4 linked regions of the Schizosaccharomyces pombe genome follow. The gene in region 3 interacts genetically with the main gene of each other region. Each region holds a gene or a part of one and is shown on either strand. Other genes may lie near its edges. The genes, in order: spc7, dis1, mal2 and mis19.

Region 1 (9,776 bases), on a different chromosome or scaffold from region 3:
GGCGACCATCAGCTGGGCATATAGTTCCTTCATCAAGATGCAAAATATCACCTGGAACAATTTCGCTGGCCTCAATTTCTTTCACTCTACCGTCGCGAAGAACGCTTGCCTTTAACGCCATTGTTTTCTTTAGTTCATCAACAATGGATCCTGCTTGATATTCTTGAACAAAGCCGACCGTTGCATTCAACAACAGAAGAGCGCAGATCACACCGAAATCAACCCAATCACGGAGACCTGCTGCTAATGCAGCAGCTAGCTCCATTACAAATTGAATTGGACCCACAAAAAATGAAAGGAATTTTTTAATATTATTTGTCTTTTCTTCTTTCATTTGATTAAGACCGTATTTCTTTTTCCTCTCTTCGACTTCAGATTCTGTGAGACCGTATTTGGGATCTGTCTCAAGGAGCTCTTCGGGGACTACTTTAGCAGCTCCAGCAGGTCCAGGAGATTCCTCCTCTTCTACTTGTTCTTCTTCTTGATCTTGAGAATACAAGTCTTCAATTAGGGCATCAATATCTTCGTCTTCATCTTCATTATCACTGCCTTCGCCGGTTTGAGGACGGGCAGGCTTTTCATGGGAAGCAGATAGCGATGGAGATGTAGTAGCCTCCTGTCCTCGGGAGGTACTTTGAGTTTCATGGGTAATTGATGTGTTACCACTTTGCAAATTCGCTTGCTGAGCATGAGTGTTAGGTGCGGCAGTTAAACGTGGAGCTGCGTTTCCTGAAGCGTTATCATAATCGACGGCGGAGTCTTCCACTCCCCCTTCCTCATAAACTTCTGTCCTTGTGGTTGAATCATCTTGAGGAGAAGCATTATTCTTGAAAGGATTGCCGTGTAAAAAGCGGCTAATTCTATGCATACCCTCAGGTCGCCCTTCGCCGTTATTTCGTTGCATATTAGTCAAAGGTTATTAAAACGACTATGCGCAAAAGATTGGTGAGGATGAAAAGGTAAAAGAACTGGAATTGGCTCTATTGTTGTGTATAAAAGACTGACAAAATTTGTTTGAATTGGATGACAATTAGTAAGTCGCCAGCCGTTACGAAGGACTCCTTTTTATAGTAAAAGCTTCAAAAAATCATGCGGGGAACAATTGTAAGCCTCTTATTGCGGTTTGGTTAGCTCACAGCTTATATTCGTCTCCTATGCGTATTATTGACTTCATTTCTCCCTTGGTTTGCTTTTTGACCTAATATAGGCGTGGTTGCAGACTCATTTAGTAATAATACCATCTTATAGGTCAGTCTCGTAACAATGCTTTCATTATTGTGTAAAAATTACCGGTCGATTACCTGAATTTGCAATTGTCTTTTATATTTACTAGGAGCTTCATTGTACCCGGAGATAAATATTATTGAATACTGCGTGGTTTTATTTTTTTATTTTTATAAATTTACAATTTTATTATTAAGCGGATCGTTACATAAAATATTTAATGGGTGTGATTTCTGTATTTGTTTATGTTTGGATACATTAAGTCCACTTGTTTAGAGAATATTTATGATGGAGCACTCATAGAAAACTTCGTGATTCTTGGGATTTCATTATTTAGTGTTGTAACGAAGAAATACTTGTCTTATTGTGTGTTTTTTTCTTTTTTTTTTGGCACAATTTTGGCTAATCCTTGCAATTTGAAGCATTAGTTTGGCCCCTTTTAAGTAAAGTTAGTATGCTAAATGAATTGTGGAATAATCTATATTTTTGCAATTGTTAAAGGACAAGCCTGGACTGCTGTATAGACAATACTTTTTCTATTTTTATCAAATCTTCCTCAGAGAAGATGTCTGACGCCCTTTTTATCATGTCACACACATTATGCTAAGTAAAGGATTCTAGTGAAATACAGTAGTTATGCAACTATTAATAAGTCATTATTAAATTGAAACATGTTATGTCGTTTGAAACTGGATAACATTACGATACCGGAGATTTGTGACCATTTATATCGTAACATTGACTAAATCCAAATGGGAGAATGATATTGGGCTAACCAAGTCTGCTCGTATTTGAAGGCTTATACCAAATGCAACGAATAGAATATCATACCATACTACGGGATACACGGGATTTACAAATATCCAATTGTAAGAATTGTCAATTTCCCGGATTTAAAAAAAAAAAAAGAATGTTAGTATTGATGACAAAAGCCTTACTTGTTTGAAATACTGAACAATTATCATTCGTTTATACAACGCTATCCTTCCTGTGCCGAATATAAACATTTTACGTCCTTTTGTATTTCCATTCTTCAAAGAAATCCTAATCGTGGTATATGATTTATCATTCTAATAAAAAATATTAAGACAAGCGAGCTCAGCCATACTTGTTTTTTTTTTACTCATTTAAATGTTGTACAAATGCTAGTTATGTTACTAAGCTTTACTGTGATTTGAAAGCATTAGTGTTGTTAATAACACATATGGATTATAGTACATAATATATCAATTTCAGGTCTTAGCAACGCAATCGTAATCTGACTTAAAAGGATTTATAATTTCTATTTGTGATCAATATATCATCGTAAAAGGAAAAGTACACGAATTAATGTCTGGTCAATTTCACTATGGCTAAGTATAACCATGGAAATGAACAGGAAATAGTTCAGAATGAGCTAGCTTATATTTGCTTAGCCGGTAACCTTTTATAACCACTTTTGAATAGTAAACAATGATGGAACAGGTTACGAGAACCTCAATGGAAAGTAGAACATAGAATTACATGTGGTTGTAAGTTCATGGCAATATCCATCAAATTATAGAAATACTAACAATAAACAGTTTTTTTCTCGATTATTGATTATAAGCCGCTGGAATGATATTAAATAAACACACTCCTTTAAAGGAATATTCACGAGTATTATTATAATATACAATTTGCGAAATAATAATTTATAACAACCTCGCTACAATTTACTTATACTTCTTACAACCGCACATTGCTTTCAAGTTAATCCATTAAATTATGCCAAAAGAACAGTGCGGCTCATTTGACAAAACATTCAAGTGAATCTTAGATATCTATACCTTTTTGAAGTTTGTATTCCTCCATCACAGTGCGCATATGCTTGTGATGCTCATTACCTTATTGTTTACAGAAAACCCAATATTACAAATAGACCCAGTTGAACAAAAGTACCCCCAATTTACCTTTACTTTATACAATTTGTTAATGATAAGAATGAACAACAGTCATATTGTTCATTGGAACTTTTACAAATAGGATCTTTATTCATTATTTATTCAGATTAGCTAACAGGAATGATTACAGAAAGCATCATCGTAGTCTACCGTATCCTAAAAAGGCTTACAGACTCCTTAAATAATACAACGAAAGGCGTTCTAGGCCGCAAAAAGAAACTCACCGCCATAAATTTAACGAACTATCATTACAATTTCTTATGTTCGTCTTAATCTAAAAACAACAAAGTTCGTGTGTCGACGTGCTTTGTTTAACTTGACGATGCCAACATCGCCTCGTCGCAATAGTATAGCGACGACCGATAATGTTATAGGAAGAAACAAAAGTAGGAAGCGTCCACACTCGCTTGGAGGACCTGGTGCGCTTCAAGAACTTAAAGAACACACAAATCCAGCAAAAGGCATTCTAAAGAGTTATTCATCCTTTTCCGTAGATCCCGCTTTCACAGGAGATGAAGACTTTAATGATATACACACACAAATAAATAACACGGTCATTGGAATCTCTAGTAATGTTATGGCTGCGTCAAAGAGACTTCAAATGGAAGACCTACAGCAATTGTCGCGTGAGACGTCTAGAAAAAGTTTGAACAGAAGAGTTTCCTTTGCTAGTCATGCACGTGTACGTTGGTATCCTAAAGATCACCAGAGTGACTCGGAAAAGTCGACATCTAATCACAGCACACCTGAGCGAACTTTTGCATCTGATGCTAAAAACCATTCCCCTAAAGGTCCAACAACGACAAGTTTTTCGAGAAACGAAACACAATCATCTCCCCATAGTCATAGTGCCTCGATTATTTCAGACGGTAGTGATATGGACATTGCGTCCCCTATTCGGTCAACCGAATCAGATATGGTCTCTGAGGCATTGAATGCTGGCCATCCGCCTCCTTCTCTGTATCCGGAGAATGATGATTTAAGTATCCAGAATCCAACAAAAGCCTTACCTGAAGCAGAAAAGGCACTTGATGTTCACGATGCCACGAGAGAGCAGGTTAATGATAGAGAGGAAACTAACATGGATTTGACTATCCAATTCCAAGAAGCAGATTCGTTTTTATCACATTCCGAATCAATTAAAGGTCTTAGCTCTAGCGAGCAAGGTACTGTTTATAGTTTAAAAGCTTCTCATGACCCTTCAAACCAAACTCAACTTTCATCCCCTAACAAATCATCTAGTCCAACTAGTATTGAAATTTCGGATTTCTCCAAAAATAACGAAAATCACGATCAGTCGGAAAATAAAGAAGAAGAAGAAGATATGATGCTAACTCGACCTATTGAAATTCCGCAACACTTTTCCCCCATCGCTCGCCCTTTAACTTCCCAAGAAGCTATTGTTGACATGGATATTACCTCTAATAACATTAATTTATCTCCAGTGTCTCATTTTTCCAATGGCTTAGATTTACAAAACTTAGAAGAAGCGCCTATGAACCTTACCCGACCAATTAATGCTAATCCTCACTTAACTAATCATTCTCCGAACGATTTAACTAATGGAGAAGAAGAAATGGATACCACCTCCGCCTTTAATATCGAAAACTCACATTTAACTCTCCTTTCCCCCATTCGTCCATCGTCACGATCCATGGAAGAGCAAATAATGGACTTGACACAACCCATTAGCTCTACAAATGCACCCACCCATTTGAATGAAGATGATTTAAATCAATTTACCTCAAATATATCCTCTTCTTCAAAACCGAGAAAGGATAATAACAAGACTGCCAATTCTTCAAAGCCCATTCCCGACAGTGAGGACTTTATGGACATTACTAGACCTTTCAATATATTATCCCCTTCTAAAGAAGCACTTTCCGAAGAGCAACCAATGGAATTAACCTCAACAGTTTTTCCTTGTGAGAATTCTACATCTCATCTTGAGGTGGAAGAAGCTGCTATGGACGAAACAGTGGCTTTTCAAATCCGTGGAAACAATGTTGAGTTACCTTCAGCAGACAAGGAAAATGCCGAGAGAGAAGAAATACCCTCATATAGTGATAAGTCAGAAAATTTCAATACTACCTCCTTTACCAACCATGAACGGTCACCAAATGGGAACAATAATCTAAAATTTTCGAAAGATCCTAACTCTTCTTCTCCAAGTAGACATGTGGTAGCGACTCCTACTGATAAGCTTGGTACTCGGAAAAGACGCTTAAGATATAGCACTTCAAGTTTTGATCAAAGTACCTTGCGTCGCAATCGTCTTGCAACAATCCGTAATGCTCGAAAATCAATTTCAACTTTGAATGACAGAGAACTTCTACCGGTTAACTTTTTCGAAAAAAAAGTAAATTCTGGTCTCTATAAATCGGTTGAGCGATCCGAAAATTATCGTCTAGGAGCTACTCCACTTACCGCAGAGAAGCCATTCACCACAGAAAAGCCGCTTTCAAGTCTTCCTGAAGAAGTTTCAAGGCAACCCACTGATGACAAAGGCGAACAAGTGTCTAATGCAGATGTTGATTCTGGATTGAGTAAAACAGAGCGACTAACAATTCAACAGACTAACGAAATTAAGCACGTTCCAACTAATACGACTTCTTCTGTTAAGCTTCCTCAACAACCTTCGAATGAGGATGAAAAAGAGCGTATAACAACTGCAGATTACGCCGATTCAACTAGTTTGGAGCGATTGGAATCTCAGGAACCCAACCGGAATGAACTTGTTCAAGTTGGTTCGTCAAATGCAGGTAATACAACTTCCGTGGGCATGAATGAACATGAGAAGTCACCCGTCAAATTATCAAAAGGTGTGAGCAATGTTGATACATCGTTGGGCGCTTCGACTATTAACACGAACATTTTGAATCAAGACTCTGGTCCAAATGAAGAAATACCTGTTGGTAATGAGCCAGAATTTGATACGATGCCAACTCTACCAAACGTCGAGCCGATAAGCCTATCAGATTTTCTTAAAATGACCGGAATTGAATTTTTGGATAATCTTACTATTGCTAAAAGACGAGAAACCCTATTGCCAAATGCTGAAGAAAATAAGAAATGCAGTATCCAAGAACTTTTGGAATCTTTTTACATACAATTCCCTTTGTTAGAGTTATACAAATTTAGTTGTCAGCAATTACAGGATTATATTGCCGAAGGGAAGGATTTTGTTACTAAAATTGAAGAGGAAACTTTGAAAGAGAACCCGTTACTATTCTATGAGTATAGGAAAGCATCCAGTGATATGAGGGTTTTAATGGATTCACAATTTTTAATGATGAAAACTTTTGCTAGACTTCAAGCAAAAGGTGATTGGTACGAATGGCGTGAGGGTTTGATGCAAGGAATCAAACATGAATTAAATTTAAATTTAACTGGGATGCAAAGAAGCTTGACCCATTTAATGGATGTCGCGAATGTTATTCATCCGTATGCGCAGGAAATTCAAGAGAGATACAATGGTAGTATTACTACAGTACAGACATTAAAGAAGCAGAAGGAATTTGCAAATCAGTATGACTCAACTCTTCTAGCGCAGGCGCAAGAAAAGTTAGAGAAACTCAAGGTTGAGGTTGAGAGGAGACGTCGGCTTCTGAGTGAAAAAGAAGAAAGAAGAAAGGAGTTGGCAATAAAGATAGAACAAGTGACAAACTCTTGCTCTGATTTGGAATTACGTACCAACGCTGAACAAGATTTTTATGCGAAAAACCAAGATTTTGAATTTGACGAAATTAAGCGATACGAGGAGCAGTTGTTAAATCTTAAAAATGAACTTGGCTGGACCATAGTTTCTTTGACCGCGGGCGGAATTAAATTAGCTACAAATAACACTGCTCTTTCTCCTTATTCAGCCGAGGTTACGGTTGAGATTTTGAGGCAAAATTTCCAAGTTAACGTTGATATTGCCTGTAAGTTCCCTAACGAAAGTAATGCTTGCAGCTCAAATGTGCTCGAGCATGTTGCATCGTCGTTTTCTAAATGGCATTCCAAGGTATTTTCTAGGAACTTACGTCTTCTGAAGAAGTATCTTAACGATGTTTCAATTTGTTGGGAACAAATTGTTTATCTTGTCCAAGATTTCCAGCGATTATGGTACCATTGGCCCTTTTTGTCAGTTGAAAATGATGATAAGTCTATTATCATAAATGTTGAGCTATACCTGCGTTCGGTATCATCTAAGGTAAAGGTTGTTTTCGGTCTCCCAATTGATACTATCTACCAAACTACTGAAGTAGGAAAGTTTTATGCTTCTACATCAGTCGCTGTGAAACAGATGTATGCGGAAAGTGAAGGAGACTCTTATGTTAGTGAGGTTTTGAATACTCTTTCGGAAGTGGTGCATTGTACATCAACTTATGCCCTTTCGTCTGCTTGTCTTACTGTTTGGAACAAATACAGCTAGATATTAATGGGAATGATTAGCTATGCTGCGCCGAAGCGACTTCCTTTCCCAATATTCATTTTGTGCTTAACGCTTGGAAATATCATTTATCCTTGTTGTATACTAGTTCATTCGTTTTCGTTAATTCACATGTTACTAAAGAAAATGTATATATTTTATGCTATTTAATATTGGTGAAATAATAATGGTAGATCTTGACTGATAATGAAATTATAAATCTTTTTGTTAAACCCGTAATGCGCTACAAAATAAAGTGTTTAGTTAATATATAAATAAACTATCCATAATTAAAAGATTCTCGGATGTGCAAATCTGGTGTAGTAAAGTTTCACATTGATCTGATAAGTACGGGATCGACATCTTACGTTCTCCTAGATACATATATACACAATCGATAGAAGAGACCGATCCTAAACAAAACAAAGATCTTAACTAATTTAAGAGAATTGGACGGATATTTAGATTTTTATAATTGAAAGTCAGACGCTGCTTACAAAATTATGAGTTTGCAAGCTCAAATTTTGCAGAATTGAAATAGGAGGTTTTTTAGATTTTTAGGCTTCGCTCGGATTATTAAGTTATCCATTTTTTATTTTTGAACACAGTTTAATTAAGTAAGTCAAAGTTCCTGAACCTCGTCTGCAATTTCTGATAAAAATATTAATACACTTAAAAATAGATTGCATCCGCAATCGAAAGTTCACAGACAGCCGGTTGAGCCCTAATTTCCAGGTTTTCTACATATTTACTTCTTTAGAAGTTTTGTTTTATATATAGATATCCCTTTTCTTGAATTAACAGTACAAAACTCACTATGCTGAAAACGTTCAATTCGTCAGCGCGCTCATGTCGAGCGATGCCGCGTTTTCTACCGACATTGTGCAGCAGATTGCACGAGAAATCTGGCTTTGAAATTCGGAATGCTGTAAGAATGCATAGTGTTGGCTCTCACACTCATACCCATGACCATGGATCGGACAAAGAAATGTTAGAGCTTGTTAAAGCTTTGAAAAAAGAAGGGAAATCTCCAGAGCTGAAACTTGCGTGGTTAGGATTGTAAGTATGGAAAAGAAAAAAAGAAAGTCATCTTTTCTTATCAATTCGGAGCATAGCGGCAACAAAGGAACTGTAGCCCTAAAGTTAGCTAAATAACTCATGATATTTAATGAGACCATTTTTAAACTGGTACTCTCTTATGCTTTCGTTCTACGACAGATCTTTTGACAATTTCTTCCCTTTATTATAGATATTCTTGACTATTAACACTTTTTATAGATACAGCAATATAGGCTTAGCAGCCGCCAAAGGTATCGGCGGAGTTGCTCTACAATCTAGCATTCTTGTCGCCGATGCTGCTCATCAATTAGGAGATACACTTTCGGACTTGGTAACATTGGCTACCTTGAAAATATGTAGCAAGAAGCCCACACAAAAGTACCCTGCCGGTTTTGGCAAATGGGAAACCATAGGTACATTCACCGTATCTGGTTTATTGGTGGCTGTATCTGTAGGCATTGCTCATTCATCGTTATCGAGATTGTATACTATACTATTCCCATACGCTGGTTCAGAACACACGCACATTGGTCATTCTCATAATCCTTCTCAACTATTGTTTGAACACCCCTTTATGGCACTTGGCCTTATATTTGGTAGTGTTGTTCTTAAAGAATGGCTCTTCCGAAAAAGTAAGTAATTTCACCTATTATTGGATTCTAATAGTATATTTAGCGAGAACGGTGGCTCAAAAAACAGATTCAAATATCTTACTAGCCAATGCCTGGCATCATAGAGCAGATGCATTGACGGGAATGGTTTCACTGCTTGCTTTATCCGGCACTTACTTTCTTAATGCTCCATGGCTAGATCCGTTTTTTGGTTGTTTAGTAAGTATTGTCGTTTTTAGTGCCGGCTTCAACTCTTCTAAAAAGGCCTTCTTGCAGCTTTTGGACCGAGCACCTTCCGAAGAGTTACGTATCGCAGTAACTGATGCTTTATTGAAGGGAGAAAAGCTTCCATATAAAATCGTTACTATATTAGGAAATGCACATGCCATGCATGTGATAATATCTGTTCCTCCATCCTTCACATCTCAACAGTCGTCCGAATTGGCACAAAAGGTAGAAAAGACTGTTTTGGATGCTATCCCTGCCCTTTCCAGTTGTATCGTGACACCACTTTCCTCTGACTCTAATCAGGTTCATAGATGGCAA
Region 2 (8,638 bases), on a different chromosome or scaffold from region 3:
TGACGCAACAGGCTCTCCGGTATGAGTAGTCCATACGCTTCTAGTATCGCCCGATTCGTTCAATGACGGTGGAGCTATATAAGGTGGTTAGTAAAATTCTCGACAAAATTAAACAGTAGGAGGTTTTAGGCGAAAAGTCAGTCAATTTTCAATGACACTATTTTACATTCCTCTCTGATATTTTAAACAATAATCTACTTACGCCACAGGCTTCGCAGAGCTTCCAAATTTGGAAGTTCCGGAATGGACTTTGATGACCTAGAAGTAGAGAAGTTTGTGTTTGACATTCAAATTTCTTTTATGTGTGATAAAAAGTATAATCTTTTTTTTTTGAAATCCTCTTTAAAATGCTAAAAATTTGTAAATTGAGTAACGGAAAATGAGTTGAAGCCAGAAGATTGTGATAAATATTAAATTAAGTTAATAAATATTCACCAAAATCCCTTGCTTTATATTTTTTTTACAAAAAAAAATAAAGAGAGAACCAAAAAAACCCCCCAAAAAACAAAATTGCTGGTCAATACACTAACTGAATTTATATCAACCACTATCGTTTACTTTAAAAGTCTTGCCGAGTAGAGAAATAAAAAAGCAAGAACTAGCAAGATAGATATACTCTTGAAAGAATAGCGGTAAGTCAAGTGAAGACCAAGCCCCAAAAAAAAGAAAAAAAAATATGTTTAGCCCAAAAATCACCAATTATAGCTTTTCACTTTCTTCAAAAGTTAGCTATTTCCCGTCAACTTTCAAAATAATGTTTGAATGTTTAATAAAACACTTTATTATAGGGTTTACTAGTAGCCTCCTTAGTGTTGGATTTCTGGAAGAAGGCAAGGTGCAGATAATCGTGAGAGAGTAATTTGATTACGGGTAATAACGAATACGAAGTACTTTGATAAAACAAATGAATATGAAAACCATCAATTACTGAGTAAATAAAAAAATTTCTATTTTAAAAGAGTTTTACTTTTTAATAAGTATTCCTTGTAAATTCACATTTCTTACAAATTTGTTCGGCAGATTCAAAAAATGCCCCGTGGCACAGAGAGATACTCAAAAGAAAGATTCTTTTTTAAGATTAAAAAAACAAAAAATTGCTCTGAGTGTAAATAGTGAATGGTCAAATGTCGACTAGTCGTTTCCATATTTACCATCAACATTATAAAGTAAATATTTGATTTGTAAATTAAAATACAGTCGACTAAAGTGTGGATAAAATGGCTAATACACAATACCAATGCTTTGACAGACAGAAAAGTAAGAGATCAAACCTACTGTTACCAGGGAAGAAGCGATGTAGCGACAAAGTCGAAATGCTGTTTGTGGTTCTTAAGCAATACGAAATTGTATAATATTATTACTAATATAAAGTAATCATAAAGGGATTCCAACATAAGACAACTAAAAATATATGAGGAGGTAGAAACACTTTACTAGTTTAAGTGGTTCAAGAAGCGTTCATCATTGTTCAGATTACGAGCAAAAGAATTATGGAGAAGGAGCTAAATACTTGAGATCTTCAAATATCTTATGAGTATAGCGATAAAGCTCCTCAACAAAGGCATCATCATGAGCGCGATGAAGAATACCACGCTGAGCAATTGCAGTGAAGTAAGCGCCGTTCAAGTGCTCTTTGGAAATCTCGGGACTGGTTGCAGCATATAAGGAAGTCATGGCGCCTCTGATTGGATCCAAAAGTAAATACTGGAAGACTGATTTCTCTAACAATTTGAGAGCAAAGGTAGGTGAGTAACGAGTCAGCTCGGTACGGATAACACCTGGGTGTAGACTAACGGAATATATTCCATATTTTTCTAAACGTTTGGCTAAAGCAATGGAATAAAGGATCTGGGCATACTTAGATTGTCCATAACGAGCAAAAGTACCCAAAAGTACATGCGGGAGATTTAGGTCAGGGAAGTAGATACCAGAATAAGGGGCCTGCAAATATGCAATGCTTGCGACGTGAACTATTCTAACATCGCCAGGTCGACATTCTTCTGCAGTACGACGGAGTGTGGGGAGCAAGAGCTCAGTGAACAAGTAATGTGAAAGGTAGTTGGTTTGAATCTGAAGTTCATAACCATCTTTAGTCAATTCAAAGGGAGGGTTCATGATACCAGCATTATTGACCAATATGTGTAATTTCTCTTCTTTGGCAATGAAAGACTCAGCTGCTTGGTACACGCTTTCGAAGTCTAACAAATCCAAACGAAGAAAACGGATCTTGGAATGTCTAACTTCATCGTGGATCTGTTTCATAACTTTTTGATACTTTTCCTCGTTCCTACCAGCCAGATAGACCTTTGCGCCTTTTCTAGCCAACTCGAGGGCAGTTACATAACCAATGCCACCTGAAGATCCTGTGACAAGAGCGACTTTACCCGTAAGATCGGGAATATCGTTAAAGGTCCATTTGGGTGTATTGAGACCGGTGTACTCTTTGAGAGTATTTACAATTGCGCTCTCATTCACGCGGTTGAGCAATCCCTGAAAACTGTAGGACATCGTAAAGAAATTTTTGAAGCTAATATCAATTAAAAAAAAAGAACTTTATAAACAATGAGCGGGGAGGATTTTATTGCAAAGAAGTGGCCAGAGAACAAACTTATTACCAATGTCTTTAACTCGAAACTGTAGCGATTATGAAATCAATCGATCAAGTTTGGAACAGATTCAAGAATAAATCAACAATTTTCTTTTAATAAGCGTTCTTAAGTTCTAGAAAACACTTAAATATCGTTCTCGTCGAATATGTTGAATATGGGTAAGGGTGGCTGCAGATGATAAGTTGCAAAGAGTGACGATAGCGGAAGAGGAAGCAATTCGTAATTTATACAATGACCGCTGACAAATTTCTTCAAAATCCAAGAAACTCAAGGCGTAACACGGCTTCTTTGCGGACCGAAAATTTGATCAAGCATGGTATTACATCGACTAGCTACTTTTGACTACTTGGCTTACAAAACGAAATATGGATTGTTTAGAATTGAATGTATGAATTGGGTGCTCGACAGAATATTGGAATCCTTTTAAAAATGTATAACTTGAACTTATTGTAATTGAAGAACTCGAATTCAGATTGGGCAAATGAAAGATAAAATTAGACTTAGGTATGAATAGAAACGAAAACTTAAAAATCTGCAATCTATAGGATTCCCTTCTTTAAACGAGTTAAACGTCATGTTTTATTCAGTAAGAGTCTTAGAAATTCATTTTTTCACTTATACTAGATCACAAGCATCTTACAGAGCCACCCAATAGCACATTAATCGGTTTCAAAAAGCAACTTGCATAAGGCTTAATATATCGGTGAACATTCCATTTGGGTGCTCATCTTCTGTTAGCATCATTTTGGTACGGTTTAAGATAAAGTTATTTATTTAAAGAATTAAATTACTCTAAAAACTTAAAATTATTGATGGTTTCCTCTTTTTCTCTGCTTTATTTACATTTTGCTCTAATAGTGTAATCTTGCGCTCGTTCATATTCAACAATACGATGGTCTAACGAATTGTGCTAACTCTACGGTGCTGGCTGTGTGAGTGAAACATTGTCGTCCGTAAAGTTAGTCGTCTCTATTTACACATGTACAACTCCAATTTCAGAGCCATACTCATTACTGTTTAGAATCCCGTCCGTTTCATTCGTTTTCATTTTTCTATTTGTCTATAAAATTCATTCTTTTACATAACTATTCATGCTCTGCTGGTTGTAAACATACGAGTCGTTAATTTATATTTGTTTATGTAAATGGAGTTGGACGATTTTAATAGCCGCATTCTCAGTCAAATTTTTGATAAGGTAAGCTTTTTACAAATTAATGGAGATAGAAGCTTGCTGTCCAGAAAAATGTAACTGGAATGAAAAGCAAACAAATGGAAATATCGTTGCAACGGCATTAAGGGCACTGTTGATCAATTCCATTGTATTTTACGATTTCAATTAGTTTTACTCATTGCTTTGTGTTTCCGTCACTACTCTTTTCATACCTGTTCTCCCTAGTATTGATGGATCTCACTTCTGTAGTGGGTTATTTTAAGTTTTTAGGTTTCTAACTGATTTATTTAGTCTTGGAAAGTTCGATTTGAAGCATATGAGTCTTTGTTGCATGCATTGAACCGAGCATTGGATGATTCAGACGTTTGTTTCCAGCCTTGGATTCATGACCCAGCATTATGGAAACAAGGGCTGTGTGATAGTAACGTACCAACACAAGAGCATGCCGTAAAATCTCTGCGATGCTTTTTAGACAAGTCTAGGCAAAAAGGAGTTAATTCTGCCAAATCGTTCGTTGTTGCTCCTCTACTCGAAAAATGTTTACCATCTCCTAGACAATCTATCCGTGATGCTTCTCACCAGGCTTTACTCATTTTAGCTAAATCCGATGCGCTGGACTATGTATTAGAAGGGTTATTTTCGGCGGCTCGCGTTAAGCATCCCAAGCAGGCAGTTGCTTCTATAAAAGAATTAAATAGTTTATTGGAGAATTTTGGAATCCCTGCACTTTCTCCTATTCCATTCTATAAACTGATTCCTACTTTGTTCGCCCAATCAGATAAGAATATCAGGCAAGAAGCTTCGAATCTATCCATAACCTTGTACGCTTGGGTTGGTAATGCATTCAAGACTCATGTGTTTCCTCAACTAAAGCAAATACAGGTCTCCGATCTTGAGGCCTCTTTTCAAAATGTTACATCTCGCACGACCACGGGAGGACATATTTCAAATTCCCTCAACACCCAAGAGGTGGTTCTTCCTTCTTTTTCATCGAATGCCAAACCCAAACCACATTTGTCCTCAAAGTCATCTTCGCAGGGAAACACTCTGCAACGCTCTACTTCTAGTTTCAGTACTCCTAACCGAAAGGTCTCACAACCTTCTGATTTTTCAGCATCTCCTTCCCGTTCCATTGTATCTCCTGCCAAAAACATTGTCGGAAGTACGCCCGTTGATGTTCTTTCCAAACTAACCCCAGAATTCCATACCGCATTATCTTCTCCCAAGTGGAAAGATCGAAAGGAAGCGTTGGAAAGCATGGTACCGGTGTGTTCCAATCCTGTTTATCAAGAGGGTGACTATAGTGAGTTACTTCGAGTGATTGCAAAGTCTCTAAAAGATGCAAACGTGGTGGTAGTGGGTGTAGCGGCTTTATTATTGACGCATATTGCCAAGGCGCTAAGGAAGGGCTTTCTTCCGTATACTGGTATTGTATTGCCTTCTTTATTTGATAGGTTTAAAGAGAGAAAATCGAGTTTGGTGCACTCTTTGCTGGATGCGGCCAATGCTATTTTTGAGAGCTGTGGGTTGAATGATATAATGGATGAGACGTTAGAATTTTTGAAGCATAAAAATCCACAAGTAAAAACTGAGACACTTCGATGGCTGAATCGTTGCCTACAATTGACGGATGTTTGTCCGCCTCGAGCATCGCTTGAAACGCTATGTAGCCTATGTGTGACATTGATCAACGATACGTTTGAGCCAGTCCGAATGGCTACCACAAATGTATTGGCAACACTTGTGCAAATTTTTAGTCAGCCAGTGTTGTCCAAGTATATTGTGGGATTGGATCCTAAAAAGTTACCAAAAATATTAGAACTTTCCAAGGACATTACGGTGAATGCGCATCCGAATCAACCCTCACGTCCCAGGCTGCCACGAGTGGCCTCTCCTTTAAAGACATCACCGGTTAAACTGGCTGTTACACCACAAGCACCTTCACCATTACCATCCTCGAATCCATCACAGGCGAGTTTGACAGAAGAATCTCTATCTACACGATCTTCGCCTACGAAACCATCGACGACGTCTTTGCGTAGTCAATCGTTGGTGAATAGATTTGCAAGTTCTACATTGAAAGCGCCATCATCCTCTTCAAAGGGAGTTTCGAATGCGGCGTCGTCAAAACAATCGTTTCCGTCATCCCCTTCGATTTCGAAAAAGTTAGAGACTAGTCGACTTTCCACGAAGAAGTTACCGGGATCAACGATGAAAGCAGCGTCGGCGCTCAAAGAATACCCACAGCAACAGTCTATGAAAAGTGGAGGAGAAAAGCAGGACAATTTGGTTACGATTACAATGTCGGAAAAAGTGGAGCTGGATTTGTTGAGAGAAGAAAAAGCCATTCGACAAGTTCAGGAAGCGGAAGATGCATTGGAGCGAGAACGGTTGTTTCGAGAGATCAATGATTTGCAAATTCAGAATGCAGAAATGAAAGAACAGGTGTATGAGAAAGAGTCTACGATATCGCAAAAGGAGGTGGAGATTACGAGTTTAAGGAATGAGAAGGATCGATTGAGTACACGATTGCAGCAAGTATTGTTAGAGTTGGAGAAGCAGCATGAGACGAATGAAGAAGCGATGGATATTGATTTAAAAGTTCCCGAGAGTGGAGCGATAGGGAGGGTGACGACAAGGGCGACAGCAACGACAGCAATGGACGAAAGTGGTAACGCTGGGATGGTATCGAGTGGTATTCATTCTGTGTCGACAAAGCCAAGTTCGTATGGGACACGGCGTTCGCTGGCAGGATCAATGTTACAAAAGCCGACGCAATTTTCGAGGCCGTCGTTTATGTTTTCACCAGAGGCACGAGACAACTGGAGGGAGAGTCATGATTTGTCAAGTCATTTGTGGGAGCAAATCCAAAGGATGAAGAAGGCGTAGTGCCCGGCGATGCATCCGAAAGTATGACTGATTAGGGCATGCTGGATTTAGCAAAGACGAAGAAAGGCAAATCGAGCGTCGTTTTTACGTGTTGTAAGAGAGGTCGTCAGTTTGGTGAATGCACAAGCGTGGAAATGCTGGTAGAGTTTTTTGTTGGAGTGTTTGTTAAAGTCGATTAGGTAGAGTTGAAATCACTCAATTTGTATTTCTAATTAAAGTCGATCATTTTGTAATGCTAATTGAAACGGTCAAGAAAGAAATCAGAGTTTTGGATAGATGAATAGGAAAATGTAGAAAAAGAAGAAAAGAAAAGAAAAAGAAGAATTCACGAGAAGAGAAGAAAAGAAAAAAGACAAATCACAAGAAGAAAAAGAATTCACGGGAAAAAGACAACTGCAACTTTTTTTCTGCGCTCCATTTGCCAATTCAACAAAGCGCGTCCCCTGTGCGCATTGCCAAACAAATACCACTAGCTTTAGGCTTGATCCTAGGATTAGCGAACAACGGGGGTACAGTGTAGTTTGGCGTAGTATGGAATAAGTAGGAACGAGTTTGTAGGTTTCCACGTTAAATGCAAAGTACGAAAGAGCTTTTCCACTGATAGATAAACGATGCATAAGGTTATACAGCACGTTATAAGGTATTGCACTATGCATTTTAAAGCAGCGCAGCAATTCGTTCCTTGCAAGATGGGCAAATAAAAACTACGAGGTGATAACAAAACGGTGTATTACTTTGCGAAAGCGAACGTACTGTATTACATTGTTAGTTAGTGTATTACGTTGTAAAATAATGCATTACATTGTAAAATAGTGCATTACATTGCACCTACTGAAATGCCTTGCATTCTGCTACATTTACGTGGTAGCTTACTGTACTACATTGCACTCTACTGCACTGCTTGGCACCCTCTTAACTGTCTGTCCTGCTGCGCACTGCCTTTGCGCACCTTTCCCATACCTCGGCTATATGAGACACTAACTTTATCCAATAGACGATCGCTTCTTGCGGCGTTTGGTTATCGTGCGCGCGCACCGTAGGGAAAGGAGGGAAGCAAGGCAGCGGCGGCAGAGCAGGAGTCTAGTACAGTAAGGCAGCGAGGAGGGAAAAGAAGATTTCCCATATGTCGGGAAGAGAGATTTGAGAGAGGGAGAGAAGTACGGACGGTCGGAGGAGCAGGAGAGAGAAGAAGAGCCATGAAAAAGGAAGTGAAAGTAGAAGGGAACTAGTAGGAAAATAGTAGGGAAATAATAGAGGTATTCTTTTGTTTATTTCGTTTAATTTTATTTTATTTCGTTTTATTTTATTTCGAGTATTCTTTTGTTTATTTATTTTCTTTCGTTTTATTTTATTTCCTTTTGTCGCTCTTTTTTCTCTCTTCTCGTCGCTACTCTAGCATTTCTAGCTATTATCAGTACATCGCCATGCCATGTGCCATGCAATGTTATGCTATGCTATGCCATGCCATGCCCGTTACACTCCCGTGTTCCATTTGGTGCTCCATTCCCGTATTGCCAAAGATAGATATTTCCGTATTCACTCGATCCTCTTCATCTTCCGAATAAACTGATAAAATTGTTGCAAGTATCTAATACTCATTCATAGTCAGCGTCGGCATTTTCTTAAACTCGTTTACAATCATTTCTTCTGAATTCATCTAATTTCTTCTGAACTCATTTCATCTTTCTTTTCTTCATTCTTACTACACTCATATCCCGTTTCACTCACAACTCACTTCTTCACAATATCACTCACTCTCTTTCGCTACTTCTTTTCTCTCTCTCACTTTTCCATTTCTTGTCACCTCGTTCCTTGTTACCTACCCTTGTTGCCTCTAACTTTTACCTTTTCTCTATTCTATTCTCTTTTGTTTTAACCTTTTTTTTTATTTTTGTTTCATCCATATTTATCCATTTATATTATCTTTCTTTCTATATTTATCTTTATCGGTCCATTTATCTTTTGTTTT
Region 3 (7,505 bases):
GGCAAAATTGGAATGCAGTCCTCAAATCTTTTTAATGAGACTGATTAAACTTCCATTGTGCTAATCGTGGGACGCTACAACCTACGTTGCGAATAATACAGTATCCGGATTTCTCATTTTTAATCGTTTTGGCTAGAACATTGGCTATACCAGAAGGTTTGCCTGCATTCAAATTGAAATTTCCGGTCGTGACGAATCCTATAATAGCCGTCTCGTTTGGACACTTTGGGTAAAGCAAATTTTCAGCAGTGAGATTTTCTTTATAAATGATGGTCTTCCATTTACTAAGTTCATCGTCACTAAGACAATAAATTCGAGCCCGATCTTGCAGGCTACCTCTTTGCACCAACTGTACTTGAACACGTACTAGCTGCAGAGTTTTATCTTCATCTCGTGAAGCCTTAACCATCTCGTTTAGATAAACCCAATCACAACAAAACGGGTTACCTATTTCTGAAAAATTATCTCCGAATTTTTGATAATTTACGCGTTTGGCAGGTGGACGTCTTTTCCAGCTATCTTCATTTCGTTTTTTTCTTTCCTCTTCGCAAAGTTGCCCACTAATCGTATCTGGATAATCAATCGGAAAGAAAGGCATTCTTTTTTCAAACGCAATTTGGTGCAAATTTTCTAATCCGCCAAAACGTATTCCTTTTTGATACATCATCTTCCTCCATACAAACTTGGCATAATCCCAAGGCAAAATAACAGTGAGTCCGTTCCATTCTTTTCTATACGTAATATACACGGGTATAACTTCTTTTTCAGAAGATTTTTTCTCATGAGTATGTCTATTTTTATTCTCAAAAACTGCAAAAGAGGGTATTTCCTGTCTCTCCCAATACCTAAAATGAGTGCTATATTGGTTTGCAGATGCTGGTAAACTGTTTTCAGCAGAATCTAATAAGCTTTTTTCTCCCTTTTCGGATAAATTTTTATCGCAACGAGTATTAACTAATGCTTTCACAGATATCGAGGCGCCCATGGGTAAGCATGCGCTTGAATAATTGGAAATCGACTGCCAAACTTTTCCTGCTTCATCTAATTCAACGTCGTCAAATACTTTGTGGAGCATAATGTTGCTATCGGGTCCGTGAATATCAAAAGATGCTAGATCTAGTCGCCAATCGTGCATAGCAATGCGATCATCCAAAACAGCTATACCAGATAAGTAATTCCATGCTTGTAGAAATGCAGATGGATGTAAACGTATAACTAACTGCACACATTCGGTAGGATTTTTTACAGGGATCTGTTTTTTGTCATCTTCTGTAGGGTTATTCCATTGTAGAAAACAAGGGCATATGAGCTCGTGTATGTCAGACTTCACGAGGTAAGATGTAAATGATCTAGAAGAATTCAGAAATACAGGAGGCAGTCCGTTTGCAAAAGAATTTCCAAACTTTTCTTTGAGAGCTTCGTATGGCCCGCTAATGCAAAACAATGGTTCATAAGACATGTCGAATGCAATTGCATCTTTCCGAAAAGCTGCTCGATGGGTAGGACGATAGGATTTCTCAGTCGGTTTTTCGGGAATGGCATATCCCCAAGCATTTATCATGTGTGCGCGTTTGCATACCCATAAATGAGTGGGAAGCCATACCTTCCGAAGTTGACGACCAGCAAATTTTCCACGTATTAACTTGACGGCAGCCAAGGACGGAATTCGCGAATCATCTGTAGAATTGTCTGTAACCAAGCTTCCCGTACTGTCAATTGCTTTGGTTTCACCTGATTTAGCTAACTTTCTTCGCAAGCGTTTGATGAATCTCTTTAACCGTTGTCTGGAAGGTGCAATGGGCAAAGTAGATGAGGAACTGAGTTGCATTTCATATAAAGCTCTATCCCTTAAACCTTTAGGTATCCTTTTTATATTATGAGAAGCTGCTCTTCTTCGTAAACATCGAGGAAGAGCTTGGAAAGCACGCTGAGCGCTGGATTCTTTTGATCTTTTCATAGCATCTTGTAAAGCCGTTATTTCAAAACTCCTTGATTCAATGAATTTTTTTAAGTCTACAGCACCATTTGAAAGGGCAGGTGATTCAACCTCTATGAATCTAGCATCAGCGAGCTTTGACCTTTTGACGTTTAGTCCCTTTGGTTGCGTTCCTCCAGTTGAACGCTTCATTTCATAAAATTAGATAAAGTGGGGGACGGTTTTTGTAGCAGCCTTAATTAGGAAGTTAATATTATACAGTGGAACTTGTTTGTTGCATGGATTGATAAATTACTCAAGCGCGTACGAAAATACCATAAAAATGATTTTTTCTATTTGATTTCTTTTATTTATTAGGTTTGAGCAAACGAATCTGCAAATATTGTTTTGAATTTAGAAAAAAAAATGTAGGTGCTTGATTTGGCAAGTTGACAACGCAAGTTGAAAAGTTGTAAGAATCCACCAACGAGTTGAATTAAGTCGTTGCAAGGAGTTCCTTGAAGAACAATTTGAATGAATATAAAAGGAATAGATGTATCATTTGATGCTCAAAAAAAAGAAATCTTAGAAGGCTTGAAATCCTCCGTACCTGATGCATCACCCAAAGGACACCCAGATAGCCCAATATTTCCATTGCTAGATGTTATAAACTCCCACCCGGATTGGGTAACAACTAGTTCATGTTCAGGAAGAATTTCAGTCTATGTACAAGGAGCAAATTCCAGAAAAGGAGGTGGATACTGGCTTTTCGTTAGTCATCAGGCACATGAAGAACTACCACCGGTTTTAGAAGATGAAAAAGTGGAATACGGAAAGGTTCCCAGTTCTCCGGTAGAAGGAAATCGGGAAATACAATACGCTTTTGAACCCATGATTCTGCATGTTCAAACGAGAAGTTTAGCGAATGCTCAGCATTTGCAAAGAGTAGCAGCAAGCTGCGGTTTTCGGGAAACAGGAATTCAAGGTAGTGAGCAGAAGTTTATTGTGGCTATTAGAACAAGTTTACGAATGGATATTCCTATAGGATGTCTTACAGCATCCGAAAAGCTTCAGTTTTACATTACTCGTGAATACATGTGCTTCCTTTTCAAGAGAAGCGTTGAGTATTTTACTGAAAATGGAAATCGAATGGCTAGACTGAAAGAGCAACTGGAGAGACAGGTAGAGAAAAGGATGAAACCAAGGCGGAAATTAAGGAATATGGACGATTATTTGGTGCAATCGTAAATAACTAACAAGTATAAAGTTTTTTGTATAAAAAGATAGTCCCTGTCTAATAATAATAAGAGTATGGTAATAAACAATCATAACGAAGCATGACTTTCTGGAGCAGTTAGGTGTGATACAAGTATATTAACCCAACGTTTGTTGTCTAATAAAGATAGTTCAAGTCTGTGATCTCTTTTCCAGTTTTCATCAGAATACTGATATATCCTTGATTTGACCACTCTAGTGGATTCTGAAGAGCAAACAAGGGTAGCTTGAATGACTTTCGGAATTTGAATGACAAGATGTGTACAAGAAAGATTGGCAGATATGTTTGTCCCATCAATTGTCAAAGACTTATTGATTTGTAAAAGTGCGTTTTTACGACAGATATATGCGGTCAATAATTTATCTACTTTCCACAAAAATATTCTAAACCTTTCAGGGTTCTTTCCAGTCAAATACTCGTCAGCCCATTCTTGTATGTTCAGAAAGCTTGGAATCGTATATTTATATAAAGCAAACGAGTCGTGAAATACTCGAAAAATTATATAATAGGGAACATCAAATCTATTTCCACCTTCTAGTTCTTCGTCCATGCCAGAGGCGGAAGATATTGGATTCTCTGAGAGATTCGTAAAGCCTATATTTACTGGATTCAACATGATATCGAACCGGACACCAAGAAGCGGTATAGAAGGAGCAGTCTCAATGGCTCCTGTCTTTTTATTTTTTACGAGAAGGGTCTTTCTAGATAACTCCTCAGGATCATTGGGTTGGAAAAAGGAAATACCAGAAAGTCGATCATAATGCAGTGCAGGTTGATTTAACGGAGTCTCTTTCAGAAATTCATTGTTTACAGATAAATTTTTGGACAACTCGGGCTTCTGAACGAGATCGGACAGTGTCGCATTATCTAAAGACTTTAATTCATCAAGCAATACATCCCTTCTGGCTTCAAGGACGGAAATTTCATCGATGAGTGTCGCATTGCCTTCTTCATCGTCCATGGCAGCAAAAAAAATTCATGGAACTAAAAAAACTGTAGTTTCAACAGTTTCTTAGGGCCTTATTGATAACATGAACCAAGCATAGAAATTCAGTTACGCTTAGACTCGTCCACGTATGTCAAAGCGTCGAAATACACAGCAGCTTTTATAATTTAATCACTGTAGCATTTCAGAGTTTCGAACTGGAATAGTATTTTAGACGAGATTTGTAATTAGATCAAAATTAGAGATTGGTAGGTTTGAAGATGTAATGGATAGGAAAAAATGAAGATTGCAAATCTATTTGCAACGAAACGAAAAATTATGCAATATTTTTAACTGTTTGATAATATGTAAATTAAATATTTTCTTAATGAGTTACAATAACAAAGAAATGTATAGAAAGCAAAGTCGGACAAGTTGTATATAACTATATAAAATTGAAGATAATTAAATCGCCAGTTTAAAAAAAAAAATTAAAATTAAAATCTAGGAAAGAAAACAGAATGGTTATTTACAAGAACAAAGAAATTTAACTTATAAAATATATAGAATTAAATTGACATAATCCAGGAAATGAGAATTATTTTGAAGAAAAAATAATGACATTTAACAAAATGACATTAAAAAAAAAGAAAAATAAATTAGTAAAGAAAAAAAATGAAGGTAGTTTTCCTTCTTATATAAATGATTTTAAAATCATTACATTTTATAACTCACCAATTAGTGCATCCCTATTAACAATTCTTTTATTAAAGCTCTTCACGTACAATCCCTTAAAACATTCATATTGCATTAAGAAAGCAACAAAATTGTATATTTAATATTAGATTATGAGCGCGCAAGTGCTATACATTGTAGCAGTTTTAAGGATCGTTGAATGTACATGGGGTTTTGATTTGACAAAAGCCAAGTTTGTGTTAAATGAATGCAAAGGGAGAATGTATTATTCAATGTTAAATAATATAATGTGAACTTTTAAGTGGTATTTGTTTACAATGAGCTAGAACAAACATGATAAATTACATTCTTTAATTACAGTATATATAGTTTAAATTAATGAAGCAAATGTCTACGGCCATACCTAGGCGAAAACACCAGTTCCCGTCCGATCACTGCAGTTAAGCGTCTGAGGGCCTCGTTAGTACTATGGTTGGAGACAACATGGGAATCCGGGGTGCTGTAGGCTTTTTGCTTTTTTGTAGAAAACTAAATTTTTTTTAGTTCATTTATTTTCTTTTACATTCTTTTTTATAAAATCAGTTTGGCATCTATAAAACAGGCAATTGTTATATAGTATATTTCATAGTGTCGAGTTGATTTTTGCTGTCATGTCTTTGATACAATTGAGAAAATGAAAATTTAATAGAAAAGTCTTTGTAATACAAAGAAAATCAATTCATCCAGACTGTAAAACTGGGTTCAAGCGACATTGGGCTTACAGTTTGTAAAACACTAAAAATCGGCGATATTCAATAAAAAATCTACAATTTCCAAAATAGCGGTGAGTTAAAGTGATTACTAAAAAGAAAATAAAACCCAATGAAATAAATTTGAATGAAGTAAGGTAGATTTTTTTTTTATTATTATTTATTTTATTTATTTATTTTTCTCTTCTATAGTAGGGATTGCTTAGATGAGCTTTAGTTCTGGGCATACAAGGCATACGAGTGTAAACACAAATTACCACTGCTGACTGAAAAACGGAAAAGTCCATAAACAACGATCAAAAGTCAAACAGAAACAAAAATTATTGATGTTCGTCTTTCGACTCTCATCACTGCTATTTTTCCTACTATTCGACTTTCGGTTTATAAACACTGTATATACTCGTTTACTACCAACCCTATTATTCCTCTGCTACAATATTGCTACTCATATACCATGATCTAACGCGTGTCACTATGCACCTTTATCGTATTTTAGCGCATTGAATTAGCGCTTGTTTTTTTGGGTCACACTTATCAATGCATCGGGGAGTCCCCCACTCCCCCCACTTACGATAGGCCAGGGTTTCACTATCATAGTCCATGCCACGTTCCAATCACCTTACAGTGAAACCGCCCGATCACAAGCTTAGTATTAGGCAATATTCAGCGATTCATTAAATGGGTTTAAAGAGAAGTAACGAGGCTGTATTAGGATGAAAATTCCGCCATATTTATGCCATTCATCTTTCCCATTCGAAGTATCATATTCAAAGGCGAATTCCTTCTCTCCTAACTAGATTTTTTCTGTAAATTTACGACTGAAAGCTCTTCCCTTTACAGTCCTCCTTCATTGTATCCTCCTTACCCTTGCCAATCCTTACAGCGAGTTCGGCTGCACTAGGCCCCCCTACTGCACCTTATCATATATGCACCATCACCACCGTGTGATGATTGGATATCTCGCACCTTCAATTCGCTCTATGCAGATAAGGACCGAGGGTGATGAAAAAGCAACGATATAGAGACGAGATAAGGACAGGTTGACCAGATAACGATTTTATATAAAGAAGGGTTTTGCCTACAAGCCTCTGTTTACAGAACTCACTTAAGCAGTTTGAAAACTTGCTAAAGTATTATTTTTAATTTTTTATTTTATTTTATGAAACTGGTTGCAGTCTGCATCGTCTGAATATAACGATCCATTAATATTTCTTTGGACGAGTTATTGCTGACTTTTCATACCAATTATATTTAAAACAGGAAAAGAAAGCACTTGAAGTCTTTTACAATCTTGAGACTTGCTATTATAATTTTTCATATTTACTTTTCTTGTTGTTTTACATAAACAGGATAAAAAAAGTTGTCAAATTTATTGTTATAATAATTTTATAAACTTTACTTTGGTTTTGTAAGCACTTTAGATTTTAATACATCTTTAATAGTGCGTGCCTTTTTCCATCCTAATTTCTATCTATTCATTATCACATCTATTTGTTTGTGTTTTTTTTTCTGATTGCGAAAAGGTCAATTTGATTTTTTTTCATTCTTAGTAATTTGTGAGTGAACAAGTTTTTCCCCTATTGGACAATCATTGTTATATCGAAATTTTTTTTTTTCGTTAAAGGAACAGATTATTAATATTTTCCGTTTCTTCTTCTTTTTAATTATATTGTTGAGGTTTCTTAATTGAAAGCTCAGAATTTATTGCCTCGTGATTGGAATTGTTTGGTTCTTTCCTTGCAAATAAAAAAATTTTTTTTCTTATCTCTTCAATCCGCTGGGTTTATCTAATACGGTATATTTACCCCGTCGCTAAAATCAAGACCGAAATTTTATCTGACTACGTAGTCTATTTGTTAAATTTGCTGGTCAGTTTGTCTTTTACTGGTTATCTTTTCTACGTCAATACTGCAGAGTCAGTTAAATATCCATCATACAACTCAC
Region 4 (3,395 bases), on a different chromosome or scaffold from region 3:
GCATGGGACCTCGCATGTCCTTCTTTTGCAGAGGTTGGCCATAGGTTGGGAATTGCGATCCTGTGGGAATTAGTTAGTATGAATCAATTCATACTCTCACTTACTGTTGAAACTGAGGAGAAACACAACGATTAGTAAACCATTGTCGAATCCTTGATTCGATCAATTGTGTAATTTTAGGAATGTCTTGAAGCTTTGACCTAGCTCCCACAAGAGAACTTACTTGTAGCGAGATCACGAAATTGGGGTCAAATGACAAGTTCATATATGCAGGCTGGCCTGCACCATTGCTTGGGGAAAAATAAATCATAATCTAGGACAAATGTTAGAAAAGACCGTTATTAAAAGACGAAAAAAAATAGTCTATCGTAGAATACCACTGTGATACGATTTAACACTTGATGTTTCAAACCCCCGGGGGAGGGGTGTAAAGAATCGTAGAGACTATATACTATTAAGGTTGTAAATAGACTTACCTTTCCGACAAATTTACAAATCCTAACTGTAATGGACAATGGTAAGGTTGCAAACGCAGGCTTTGGAAAATTAAGTAAAAGCTTTGTGTCAACGGTGCAATTAATATTGTCAGTCAGAGAAACAAGCATCTCCGCTCGAAGCTGTGAGGAATTATGCTGATGAGGTAGAACCCGACAATGACTGAAAACCGGAAATCCGTCTCCAAGCGATAAATCTCGCACGTAAATATGATCAACCATAGACTTGTCTTGAGCACCTTTGTTGAGAACAGTTTCAAGTTTTCTCAGGGCAACATCGTTGGAACATGCATCATAGCGAAACTGTATGAGAGCTTGTGCTATTAGTACATTAAACCAATCCAATGATTCCGGCTCATGTTCATTAACATCGTAAAGCAGATTGAGTATATGAGGTTCAAGGATAGTAAGAGGCTTTTTGTACCTTTTTTTGTTATTACTTAAAGGAGTTGAAGGAGTCTCGTCAGGTGTTTCATTCCCCGTTTGTTTTGGAGAGTTTGCTACAGACTTTGGAATTGGACTACAAAATAAAAAGAACCGCAAAAACACATAAATAATGGCCAGTGTCAACAATTGTCCAACTATTAGTCCTTGTGTAAAACTCCCCTGCGGCAGGTGTATCATTTTTGTTCATAAATATACTAAAATACCTCGAATTCGCTAATCCCGAGAATCAAAACCGTAAACGGAAAAATTAGTCTTCGCTCTACAAGAAGAGTATAAATTAAACGTCTCAAATACAAGAGTTAACTGCTTAGTAAGTTGAGGCTTTCTGTAATATATATATATATTTTTTTTTTTTCTTTCTTGTAGGTGGTCTACGTAGCATTTGCAATTACAGAGTTCATTGAGCCTATTTGTTTGAGTCCAAAACCGAAATCAACTAATTAAACTAATGGACTTCAATTAAAAAAGATTATTAGTAAATTCATTAAATAACATGATTTGTTTGAGAAAAGCAACTAATTATATCAAATTATTGACTTTAGATATATAAATCCTTTATGATAATATATATTACATTATGAAATTATAAGAGAATATTACTTTCTTGTACTCTTCACATGTGTATGGCATGCTCATACTCAAGGGTAGGAAATACACTAGTACGCGTTTTACTCTTCCAAAAGGAGTATTAGTTAAAGTATCTTTAATAAACGACAATAATTAGTTATTCTTTCTTTCGTATATTAACGGACTACCTAATTTTCGAAAGTTTCTCCGTCTGTGATATTTTATTAAAATGTTAAGCAAATGGATTTAATGCCGTTAGAAAAAGCAAGAGCAATTGAGATTGCATTTGATAATGTGTTTCATAATACAAAAATTCCGGACAATTTGCAGCAATTTGACGCCATATTGAAACGACTGGAAAGACGGAGATTTATACCAACGGAAAATCAGAAACCAAGAGTGTACGAAACAGAGCTACTTGTACTGCGATTTCGCGAATTTGGGGTGAAAGACAACCATAATCATCCAATAAATCTTCATTCTCTTCGGTCAAAAAGCTTAATCAGGGCACAAGGTAAAAAACTTGATTTACATAATCGAGTATTTCTAAGAAGAAATGTTAGAGCAGTAAAAATGTGATTAGTACCTTTTATACGATAATTTTGATGCATTAGTAACTTACCCAATGTGAACTTTACTGAACTTTATACACAACTTACTACAGAAAAGACTCAATCACTACATGTTACGCATATTTTTAAAGCGTTAATTTTCTATCAAAAACAAAACTGTAAGCGTTCATAACTTCTTTTCAACCCAAATTCACGTTTACATGAATTAAAGTCATAATTCAGCAATATTTTCCATTTTAGCAAAAAAAATCGATATGAGTAGCTTTAACAACACGGTGAAAAAATACCAAAAATAATAATTCTATATAAATCAAATCAAAAGCGGTTTTATTTCAGCTTCTCTCTCAAAAGACAAGCTAGAACATAAAACAAAAGAGAGGGGAGTGTATCAAATAATAAATCTTAAAGTGAATTAGTTATCCTTCTTGCTGGCATAAGTGCGATCATCTTTACCCTCAACGGTGTATTGAACTGTCTCCATAAAGCGAATGCGCTGCTCTTGCAATTTCTCATTGCGAAGTTCGGCGTCAAATAATTCTTGGTCTGGTTGACGATATGAACTGCAAAGACGATCAAACAAGGTGAAAAACTGACCATAATTGTAATTAAAGTACATATGGTGAGCAGCGTGATGAGCAGCACCATTTACGACAGCGTTGTTAGAAAAGTATTTGCCGTCGTGGATGAGTACGGTCCAATAATTTACTGATCCAAAAAGCAATAAGTAAACATACTTATTTAAGGGAAAGAAAAAGGGAAACATATGATATGGAAGGGATTGACTGTATCCATCAAGATAATGAAAAGCGTGAGAAGAGTAAGGAGTTGGAACAATCCATTTGTGATGAAGCTTATGCAAAGGAGCGTAAAGCCAACGATGATGCAAAGCGCGGTGAATCCAGTAAATCAAAAAATCAGAAAATAGAAGGAAAAGCGCGATGGAAAAGAAAAGATAAAAGTAACCATATTCATCAAGCTTATCATAAACATAACCATATCCACGAATTTCAGCAAGAAACCAAGGAGCTGTCAGAATAGCCATACCGGGTAGATTTTTTAAAGCAACCATCAATTCCAGATGCTCCTGATTTTTTAAAAATTTAGGGTGCCTTCTGGCCTCCTCTCGATCAAAGTACACATAATATGCAAAACTGGCAGACAAAAAGTAAGACAATGTGCCCATAATCCAGGTAATGAGGAACAGGCTGGTGAATTGACGCCACACATTGTTACGATCAAGTAATCCCGACGTGATAGCAAAGTTTACTTTCTCAGCAAGACCCAAGGTGGTAGAATTTACAGCAGTATTAGCAAA

What was found.
Region 1: of mal2 (region 3) and spc7, extra expression of one rescues a mutant of the other (dosage rescue), as found in Schizosaccharomyces pombe (one study listed by BioGRID).
Region 2: of mal2 (region 3) and dis1, extra expression of one is lethal in a mutant of the other (dosage lethality), as found in Schizosaccharomyces pombe (one study listed by BioGRID).
Region 4: mutations in mal2 (region 3) and mis19 impair growth when combined (synthetic growth defect), as found in Schizosaccharomyces pombe (one study listed by BioGRID).

The regions. Positions count from the first base shown.
Region 1 is NC_003421.2:784,307-794,082, reverse strand, and holds spc7 (outer kinetochore KNL network protein, KNL-1 family member, blinkin, Spc7), read left to right. Parts: upstream 1-3,422; 5' UTR 3,423-3,468; coding exon 3,469-7,563; 3' UTR 7,564-7,794; downstream 7,795-9,776. Other genes in the region: P3-type proton ATPase Pma2, read right to left, coding at 1-904; mmt1 (mitochondrial iron ion transporter), read left to right, coding at 8,378-8,619, 8,839-9,251, 9,295-9,776. UniProt on the Schizosaccharomyces pombe protein: Acts as a component of the outer kinetochore KNL1 complex that serves as a docking point for spindle assembly checkpoint components and mediates microtubule-kinetochore interactions.
Region 2 is NC_003421.2:339,281-347,918, forward strand, and holds dis1 (TOG/XMAP215 microtubule plus end tracking polymerase Dis1), read left to right. Parts: upstream 1-3,584; 5' UTR 3,585-3,753; coding exon 3,754-3,804; exon of another isoform or gene 3,805-4,071; coding exon 4,072-6,669; 3' UTR 6,670-6,962; downstream 6,963-8,638. Other genes in the region: YTH family RNA-binding protein Mmi1, read right to left, coding at 1-74, 203-287; SPOM_SPCC736.13 (dehydrogenase), read right to left, coding at 1,489-2,508. UniProt on the Schizosaccharomyces pombe protein: Has a role in sister chromatid separation.
Region 3 is NC_003424.3:4,182,170-4,189,674, reverse strand, and holds mal2 (kinetochore protein mal2), read right to left. Parts: upstream 4,394-7,505; 5' UTR 4,153-4,393; coding exon 3,241-4,152; 3' UTR 3,164-3,240; coding exon of another isoform or gene 2,450-3,163; 3' UTR 2,259-2,449; downstream 1-2,258. Other genes in the region: pop100 (Rnase P/MRP subunit), read right to left, coding at 32-2,128; wybutosine biosynthesis protein Tyw3, read left to right, coding at 2,450-3,163. UniProt on the Schizosaccharomyces pombe protein: Component of the kinetochore, a multiprotein complex that assembles on centromeric DNA and attaches chromosomes to spindle microtubules, mediating chromosome segregation and sister chromatid segregation during meiosis and mitosis.
Region 4 is NC_003423.3:1,321,983-1,325,377, forward strand, and holds mis19 (protein Mis19), read left to right. Parts: upstream 1-1,748; coding exon 1,749-2,087; 3' UTR 2,088-2,392; downstream 2,393-3,395. Other genes in the region: ERMES complex subunit Mmm1, read right to left, coding at 1-60, 105-313, 477-1,118; C-5 sterol desaturase Erg32, read right to left, coding at 2,493-3,395. UniProt on the Schizosaccharomyces pombe protein: Component of the CENP-A recruiting complex that ensures the integrity of mitotic spindles through maintenance of kinetochore factors mis6/CENP-I and cnp1/CENP-A.